Linked DNA regions of Canis lupus familiaris. The protein of the gene in region 1 interacts with the protein of each later gene in a pairwise test. Links are inferred from orthologs where the notes say so. Each region holds a gene or a part of one and is shown on either strand. Other genes may lie near its edges.

The links.
Region 2: the proteins of DAZAP2 (region 1) and EXD3 interact in binary tests that used the Homo sapiens proteins (3 or more experiments, as listed by UniProt). The two-hybrid records come from large-scale screens. The link is inferred for Canis lupus familiaris from reciprocal best matches to the Homo sapiens genes DAZAP2 and EXD3.

What each region holds. Positions count from the first base shown.
Region 1 is NC_049248.1:43,029,782-43,033,771, forward strand, and holds the start of DAZAP2 (DAZ-associated protein 2), read left to right. Parts: upstream 1-1,188; 5' UTR 1,189-1,329; coding exon 1,330-1,342; intron 1,343-2,380; coding exon 2,381-2,499; intron 2,500-2,928; coding exon 2,929-3,097; coding exon of another isoform or gene 3,098-3,174; intron 3,175-3,990. UniProt on the Homo sapiens protein: In unstressed cells, promotes SIAH1-mediated polyubiquitination and degradation of the serine/threonine-protein kinase HIPK2, probably by acting as a loading factor that potentiates complex formation between HIPK2 and ubiquitin ligase SIAH1.
Region 2 is NC_049230.1:48,293,997-48,298,213, forward strand, and holds the start of EXD3 (exonuclease mut-7 homolog), read left to right. Parts: upstream 1-1,415; 5' UTR 1,416-1,488; coding exon of another isoform or gene 1,489-1,662; intron 1,663-1,822; exon of another isoform or gene 1,823-2,082; intron 2,083-2,460; coding exon of another isoform or gene 2,461-2,569; intron 2,570-3,520; coding exon of another isoform or gene 3,521-3,603; intron 3,604-4,217. Other genes in the region: NOXA1 (NADPH oxidase activator 1), read right to left, coding at 740-873, 1,072-1,206, 1,489-1,662, 2,461-2,569, 3,521-3,603. UniProt on the Homo sapiens protein: Possesses 3'-5' exoribonuclease activity. Required for 3'-end trimming of AGO1-bound miRNAs.

The sequences.
Region 1 (3,990 bases):
AAAAAAAAAGAACATTGTGTTCTGGGCAGCTGGATGGCTCCTTCAGCCCAGGGCGAGATCCTGGAGGCCTGGGATTGAATCCCACGTTGGTCTCTCTGCATGGAGCCTCTTTCTCTCTGATGGATAAATAAAAAAAAAAAAAAAAAAAAAAGAAAAAAAAAAGAACATCTTGTGCTGGGGGCGCCTGGGTGTCTCAGCAGGTTAAACGTCTGCATTGGGCTCAGGTCATGATCCCGGGGTCCTGGGATGTGCAGCCCCTGCATGGGGCTCCCTGCTCGGCGGAGAGTCTGCTTCTCTCTCTCCTTTGCCCATCCCTCTGCCGGTGCACTCTCTCTCTCTCAAATAAATAAATAAAATATTTTTTTTAAAAATGTCTTGTGGGGCAGCCCAGGTGGCTCAACGGTTGGGCGTCCGCCTTCGGCCCAGGGCATGACCCCAGGGTCCTGGAATCGAGTCCCACGTTGGGCTCCCTGCATGGAGCCTGCTTCTCCCTCTGCCTGGGTCTCTGTGTCTCTGGTTAACAAATAAACAAAAATCTTAAAAAAAAAAAAAAAGGTCTTGTTTAGCTCCATCTCTGTACTTGCGCAGAGGCGGCGTATCTTAAAATGAAGGTTGCCCGGGGCACTGCTGCCTTAGAGGGTGGCACCCCTGCCCTTAAGGACAGTGAGGGTAGGGACGAAGGGAGAGAGAGGGAGGCTACAGGAGGCGGCAGGCCGGGCCCTGCGCGGGGCCTCCCTCGGGCAGAGGGGCAGCGACGCAAGTGCAGGCGGGCACCTGCCGGCGGGACGGGCAAGGCGGCCAGGACCCACTGACGGCGCCGCCAGCCCGCGCAGTCCAGGGGCCGGGGCCGGGGCCGGGGCCGCCGCGCTCCGCAGGTGAGGTCACCTTGAGCTGCTGCGCAGAGGTGGAAGCAGGTTCCGGGGAGCGGCTTCAGCGGCTCTGCCCCCGAGCGCCCCAGAGAGAGAGAGAGAGAGGAGGGGGGGGGGCGGAAAAAACAAAGGCAAAACCAAAAAAAAAAAAGCCAACAACCGTGTTTGGAGACAATACCTGCATTCGGTTTTCTTCCCGTCGTGGGACGCGGGTGGGGGTGGGAGGGCGAGACCCAAGGGGCGGGGCCGCCGCGCGCCGGGGGGGCGGGGCCACGCGCGCCCGCCCTCCAGCTACTGGACGCCGCGCGGGAGGGGCGGGGCTTCCGGTGGCGGCGGCGCTCGGGCGTCGGGTGACGCGAGGCGGACGGGCCGTCACGTGACACGGAAGTGACTACGAACAGGAAGAGGACGAAAAAAATAACCGTCCGCGACGCCGAGCCGAACCGGACCCGCAGCCACCATGAACAGCAAAGGCAAGGGCAGGGGGCGGCCGGGGCCGTCGGGGGGACAGTGCTAGCCTGGAGCGAGCGGGCCCGGAGCCCGGGGTCGCCAAGCGGAGGCTTGGGGCGCGCTGCGCCTCCCTCCCCGGCCGGCTGCGGCCCCGGGGGCCGCGCCAGACGCCTTCGTCATCCCCGAACTGCGGCTGCTCGCTGCTTCCCGGCCCTTTCCTCCTTAAACTCTGTGGCGCAGTTTGGAGCTGCGGGCTCGGGTGGAGGGGCGGGGGGGTGCAGGGGGGAGGCTTGTCATGATGGGCATCTGCGGGAGCAAATGGGGAGCTAGAGCAGGGATGCGGGTCGGCCAATGGCGCGCCGGCGGGGGCGGGGCTTCGCGCTCCGGAACCAGAGGCCGGCGCCCGGGCTTAACCAGTGCGGCGCCGGCGGGCGGGCCCCGGGGCCCGGGGGCCCGGGGGCGGCGGAGGGGTCTCCCTCCGCGTGCCTCGCGCGGCCGCCCGAAGTGCCCCCGGCTCCTGGGACTGTGCCGGCGTCGGGCCCCACACGGTCCTCCGCTGTGCCTCAGGACGGTTCCCGTTATCCTCCCTCGGGTCCCGAGGGCTCACGTCCATCGCGCGCTGTATTCGGAAGGCGACCTTGAGTAGGAAGCGGCGGGGCAAATAACCCGCAACCTCCGTGACCCAACGAGGTCGCGGCTCGGTCCAGCCAGGCCTGTGGCGACCACCCGGAGCCGGGGCAGCGCGTCCCTGCCGTTGGGCACGGGCAGGAACGGGGCCCCACACCTGCCCTGCATCGATGGAGAAGCTCGGGTGTGCCAGTGGGAGGACTGCCCCGGTAGGAGTAGGGATAAGGGTGCGAAGAGAATATTCTCTCGGCCCCAGAAATCAGCCCCCACCCCCACCCCACCACCCAGAGCGGTCTGTCTACACATCTCCAGCTTGCTGCCCCTAGGGCAGCTACCCAGGATGCTCTGCCCCATTTTGGTGGCTCTGTGTGGTAGGCAACATGCATTTTCTTTTTCTTTCCTTTTTTTTTCTTTTTTTCTTTCTTGTCTTCCAGGTCAATATCCAACGCAGCCAACCTATCCCGTGCAGCCTCCTGGGAACCCAGTGTACCCTCAGACCTTGCATCTCCCTCAGGCTCCACCCTATACTGATGCTCCACCTGCCTACTCAGAGGTGCTTCCAGTTTACTAGACTTGAACCCAGTGCTCTTGGGTCACATCTTCAGTCCTTAGCTAATAAGCCTGAGTCCACGCATATCTATTCAGTGTCCGTAAATAGGAGAAGGGAGGGCTCACGTGAATAGTCTGAAACACTGTACACTTCAGCGCAATTTCTGTTGGGGTTGAGACTGCATCATCTGATTGTTTCATGTTTTTTTTTTTTTTTTTTTTTTGGCACCGGGTGAGGTTAAGAAGATGAGCTTGCGTTCCTTGAGCCTCACGTTAGCTATGGCAGGAAGTGATGCAGGAGGGTACTGAGTGGCAGTGGAAAGGCAGTTTGTGTAACTCAAGAGTGTAATCTGCACAAGGACAATTAAGAATTGAGCGTAGAAGGGATCTAAAATCGGAATGTCATAAAGTAACCTGTTGCCTTCTCTTCTAGCTCTATCGTCCGAGCTTCGTGCATCCGGGGGCTGCCACGGTCCCCACCATGTCAGCTGCATTTCCTGGCGCCTCACTGTATCTTCCCATGGCCCAATCTGTGGCTGTTGGACCTTTAGGTTCCACAATCCCCATGGCTTATTATCCAGTTGGTCCCATCTATCCACCTGGTTCAGCAGTGCTGGTGGAAGGAGGGTATGATGCAGGTGCCAGATTTGGAGCGGGGGCTACTGCTGGCAACATTCCTGTGAGTATGACCTTATCAGAACAACTCAGCTCTTACGTAGTTTAACTTTCTGAAGAGATTACATATTCATCCTTTCACCATCCCTGGGTAATAGCTGTGGTATGGGTATAAGCACTGACATCCAGTAGTTGGGCAGAAAGCAGTTGAGGGGGCAGGAGAACTGTGGCAAGTCAGTAGCATCTGGCACATTCCCTGGGGCCTGAGTTAACCAGATTCCTTTGTTTTCCTATACCTCTTTAAAGCATTAGGAGTCCTGCCTGCTGCTTTTGCAGTTCCACTTTGGTACTGGTCTAGTAATACTCCTTATTCAGCCTGTAACATTTACTTCAAATTTGCCTTCAGTATGGCATTCCATTAAGAAACGTGATAAAAGAAAAACGTGATGAGTAAAAATGGAGAAAGACACATGAGATAAGCACTGTGTGTTATATGTAGGCAACTTGAATTTAAATAAAATAATAATTTTTAAAATCCTGAAAAAAATGAAGAAAGCATAGTCCCCTATTAAGTGGCATTTAGAAAGATACTAGAGATTTTAGTTATGTTGCCTGCTTAGCTCCCCCCTCTATAAGAATTAGAGCCCAGGTGGTCCTTGCCTCAAAGCCATATACCTGAAATGAGGTGAGAATGCCTTTAAATGAGTGGTAGGCTCTTTTCCTGTCTGTACCTTTGGGTTCACAGAGAATATAGACCTGCTTTACAACCCACGTTGGCAGAACTAGCTTTAAGATGTGATTGGTCAGGACACTGCCATCTTTCTAATGGATCCTGTTTCACGTGTGTCCACTTCCCTTGTCTCAGCTGCCCTCTGCCCAT
Region 2 (4,217 bases), on another chromosome or scaffold:
GGGGGCCAGGACGGTGGGAAGAACACGTCTGACGAAGGACAACATGTGCAGATGGTTTCAGCCTCCTTTTTATACAAGTTTTGAAATATCTTTATTTCTCAGATGCCTGGTACTGTGAGAAGCAGACTCTGAATTGATTCATTAATGCAGCTCGGAGTCACCTGGCCCCAGCCAGCAGAGGTCATGAAGACGAGGTGTGTGGGGCATGTAGCCTCACCAGCCATGTACATGGTGGCACACAGCACACTGGCCCGCGGTGACCTCGGGGGGCTGGGGCTAATCCAGGGCCACCAGCTTGAAACCCAGGCGAACTTCCCTTTGTGTACACAGGTCCCTGTATCCCACCCCTGCCCCCAGGGCTGTGATTCTGGTGACGCTGCCTGGCCAGCTGACCTCAGCCCTACCTGCGATCCCACTCTCTGGGGCAGAGATGCAGGGAGACACAGAAACACAGAGACTCAGGGAGGTGCTGAGGCCAGAAGGGTGTGGCTGGGGGGGCAGCACCACTTAGGTGCCCCTCTGCAGCCAGCTTCTGCTGGGTTCTGCCTGCTGCTTCTAAGAACCCAGGATCTGAAGCCCACATGGAGACCCTGCCCCCGACTCAGAAGTTCAGGCATGTCTGCGGCCTAGGGATGGCCCTGCGCCTACTGTCCACCCACCCACCGAAGGCTCCCTAACAACAAGGACCCTTTGAGCTCACCCCCCTGGCTGCTGCTGACCCCTGAGCACCCGGGGTTACCTTGGCCTTGCCCAGGAAATCCACGGGTTCCAGGTGCTCCACATGCCGCCTGTGAGGCCGAAAGACCTCACCCCTGGGGACCTGCCGCAGCTGCAGGGTAGCCTGTTTCTGGAGGGGGTCCAGCCAATGCAGACCTGAGTATTTGACAGGGCTGTGGCCTCAGGGACCCCCCACCCACTTCTCACACCCTGAGAGACTTCCCCAGCCCCCACAGCTGGGCACAGGAGCACCTCCCTCTAGAGACTTCTTCAGCTCATACAGTTGGTCTGGGGGCGCTGGGACAGATAGGAGCCCTGGACGTGCCCTAAGGGGGCCTGGCCTGCTCTCCTCACCTGCACTTGGGCCAGGGCAGCATGCAGGTCTTCCCCGGCCCCCTCTGGCCCCTTGCAGAGGGCTTCCTCTAGGCTGCCAGCGGCCTCAGCCCACAGTCCCAGCGCGCACTGTGCCGCCCCCACGTTGAAGAGCACCTGGGAGGGGACGAGAGGTCACAGCCCTCTCCCTCGCTCGCTCTTCTGCTCCTGCCCCCCTGGTCTCACCCGGATCGGCTTCAGGCCCCCCGCCCCCGCCCCTGATTCCACCCCAGACCCCGCCCCAAGCCCCGCCCAAGCCCCGCCCCAGACCCACCCCTGGCCCCACTCCCGCGCCCACCGCCTCCAACCGCCTCTCCTGGCCCCGCCTCCAGCCCCGCCCTCCCCCGGCAAAGACCCCGCGGCCTCCCTGGGGGCCCGCCTCGCCGCGGAGCCGCGGGCCCGGGGACTGGCATCCGGCCTGTCAGCAGGTGCGGGGCTCTGCCGGGCCGACCTCGGTCTCCAGACCCGCAGCCGGAGAGGTAGGTTCTCTGCTCCGAGCATCAGGGGTAGGTTGGGAGCTCCGGGAGCGTCCTGTCCGCCTCCGCCCCCTTCTGCGCCACCGACCGCGCGGTCCTGCCCGGTGCAGGAGTCCGCGCTGCTGTCGCAGGAGCCCCGCTCGGGCCTGTCCCCTTCCTCACCCGCCCCCGCCCCCGCCCCCGCGTGAGAAGACGTTCTGACAGACAGGTAGGGTCGGGTTCCGGCTGTGGCCGGAAGGACACCAGGACACGCTGAGTTGCCTGGTGCTCCAGGAGGCCCCGCAGACACCCGCACCCCCCCACAGCCGCTGTGAGGGTAGCAGGTGCTTGCCCAGCTCGACTTTGTCAACAGAACCAACCGGTTCTTCCGCGCGCTGCGGTCTCTGTGGCCTGCCTAGCAACGCACACTCCCAGGGCCAGCTGGCCACCCTGGAGATTCTGCGGGGCGTGGTCACTGCCAGGCCAACTGCCCACGCCCAGCCCTCTGGCGGTGGGTGCCGTAGGCTAGGGAACCCAGGTGCCTGCAGAACCCCCTGATAGGACTTTCTGCCATCTGTTTATTGAAGCACAGGTCCTCTGGAGAAGGCTCCTAGGCAGCACTGCTGGGAGTGCTGGGGGTGTCCTCTCCATTCCCCTCCTTTGGCGTCAGCCGCCTGGACAGCCCAAGGTGGAGGTGCTCCCTGCCTGTCCCCTGCCAGGGGCCCATGGTCAAGCCATGCTTCTTCCTGACCCCATCTGCCACTCCCTGCTGCCTCTCTGACCCTCCCTGGCCCTCCTTCTGGCAGTCTCCCAACTCTCCGTCCCTAAGCTTCCTCGGGGTGGGACCGTGGCCCGTAGGGGCAGTGGGGCACCACCTTTGGAGGCCAGCTTCCTGTGCAAGTCTGTGCAAGCTCACCTCCCAGGTCTTCAGCTTGAAGCGCAGGCCCAGCTGCGTGTAGTCGATGGCCGCATTACCCCTCAGCTGCGCCAGGGCCAGCCGGAAGTCAGACAGGGCCTCCTGGAACCTGTGGGCAGTGGGGGAACAGGGGGCGGGGCTCTGAGGCCATTGGGGAAGGGCCCAAGCCCTGTCCCAGCCTCCCTCACCCAGCTCCAGGACACCTGCTAGGGGCCGTGGTGGCCACCCAGGTCCTAGCACATGGTGGGCATTCAAGTCTCTACCATTGTATCAAGGGATCAATATGCAGATATGGCTGTGGGGTTACAGAGGGCACCGGGCGGCCTGGGGTGTGAGGTGAAGCTAGCTCTGATCCAGCTCTGCCTTCTGGAAGGCTCGCTGCCCTTCCTGGGGCCCCTGTCTGCCCAACCGTGGCTGCATAGAGTGCCCTGAGCATTTCCCTCCTGCTTCTCGGGACCCATGTCCCCTGGGGGCCTCCCTCTGCACAGACCTGCTGGAAGGAAGCTCCTCAGCCTCCCCTAGGCAGGCCCCTGGCTCCATGAGAGGAGGAGGCTGCCCCCAGAGTCGGCCTGCCTGGCATGGGGCCATCTGTGGGGCTCATCCAGGGGCTAGGTGAGGGAGTGGGAAGATGAGCCTATCCTGCAGAATGGTTCCTTCTCTGGGAAGGACCACGGGAGAAAGAACCCTGGTGAGCATTGAGGACCCCAACCAGCTCCATGTCCTGGGACACACCATTCCTGCAGCCCTGTTTCGGGGTCCACATCTGCAGAATGAGTATGATCACACCATCCCTGCTACAGTAACAATGTGGTGAGGAGCAGAGGAGGGGATGTCCGTGAAAGCGCTCCATGAACCTCGGCAGAGATGAGGCTCACCATGCGGCTCTGCCCTGCATCTTCTGCAGCAGGAGCACTGTACCCTGCCCATACTTCCCCGGGGCTATACAGGAGAGGGTTGGCAAGGGGGGGTGACCCACAGGGAGAGCACGGGGGGAGTACAAGAATGGACTGTGCAGAGAGAAAGGGGCGTCAGAGAAGAAACAAGGCATCCCTGTGCTCACCTCTCCAGCTGGAAGTTGGCCACACCTCGCTGGAAGAAGCCAACAGCCATGCATGTGTCCTTGGTCACTGCTTGGTCAAATGCCTGAGGACAAAATGCCCAAGGATCACCCTTGTGTCACAGACAGTCCAGGCAGATGGCCAGCAACAGGGGGCCGAGGCATTCCACCGGCCCTCGAGCCGGCCACACATCCAGGGGTCTCCAGAGCTGGTATCTGGGTGCATGCGTCCCTAGTCAGGTGCCCTGAGCTCCTGAGGTCGAAGAGCCCAGTGAGGTGTCATCATAAACCACTCTGTTTACCATGAGGATGACGGGAAACAACAGAAGGAAGTGCTCCAGCACGGTCACCAGTCACCCCGGGGCTCCAACTTATGCGACATTCTCGTCTTTTTGAACTCCTATTTTTTTTTAAGATTTTATTTATTTATTCATGAGAGACAGAGAGAGGCAGAGACACAGGCAGAGAAGCAGGCTCCATGCAGGACTCGAACCCGGGAATCCAGGATCATGCCCCAGCCAAAGGCAGGCGCTCAACCACTGAGCCACTTGGGCATCCCTAAACTCCTATTTCTGATAGTTCGTACAGAATGACACACTTGTTATCTTTTTTTAAAAAAGATCTTATTTAGGGGGGTCCCTGGGTGGCTCAGCGGTTTAGTGCCTGCCTTTGGCCCAGGGCTTGATCCTGGAGTCCCAGG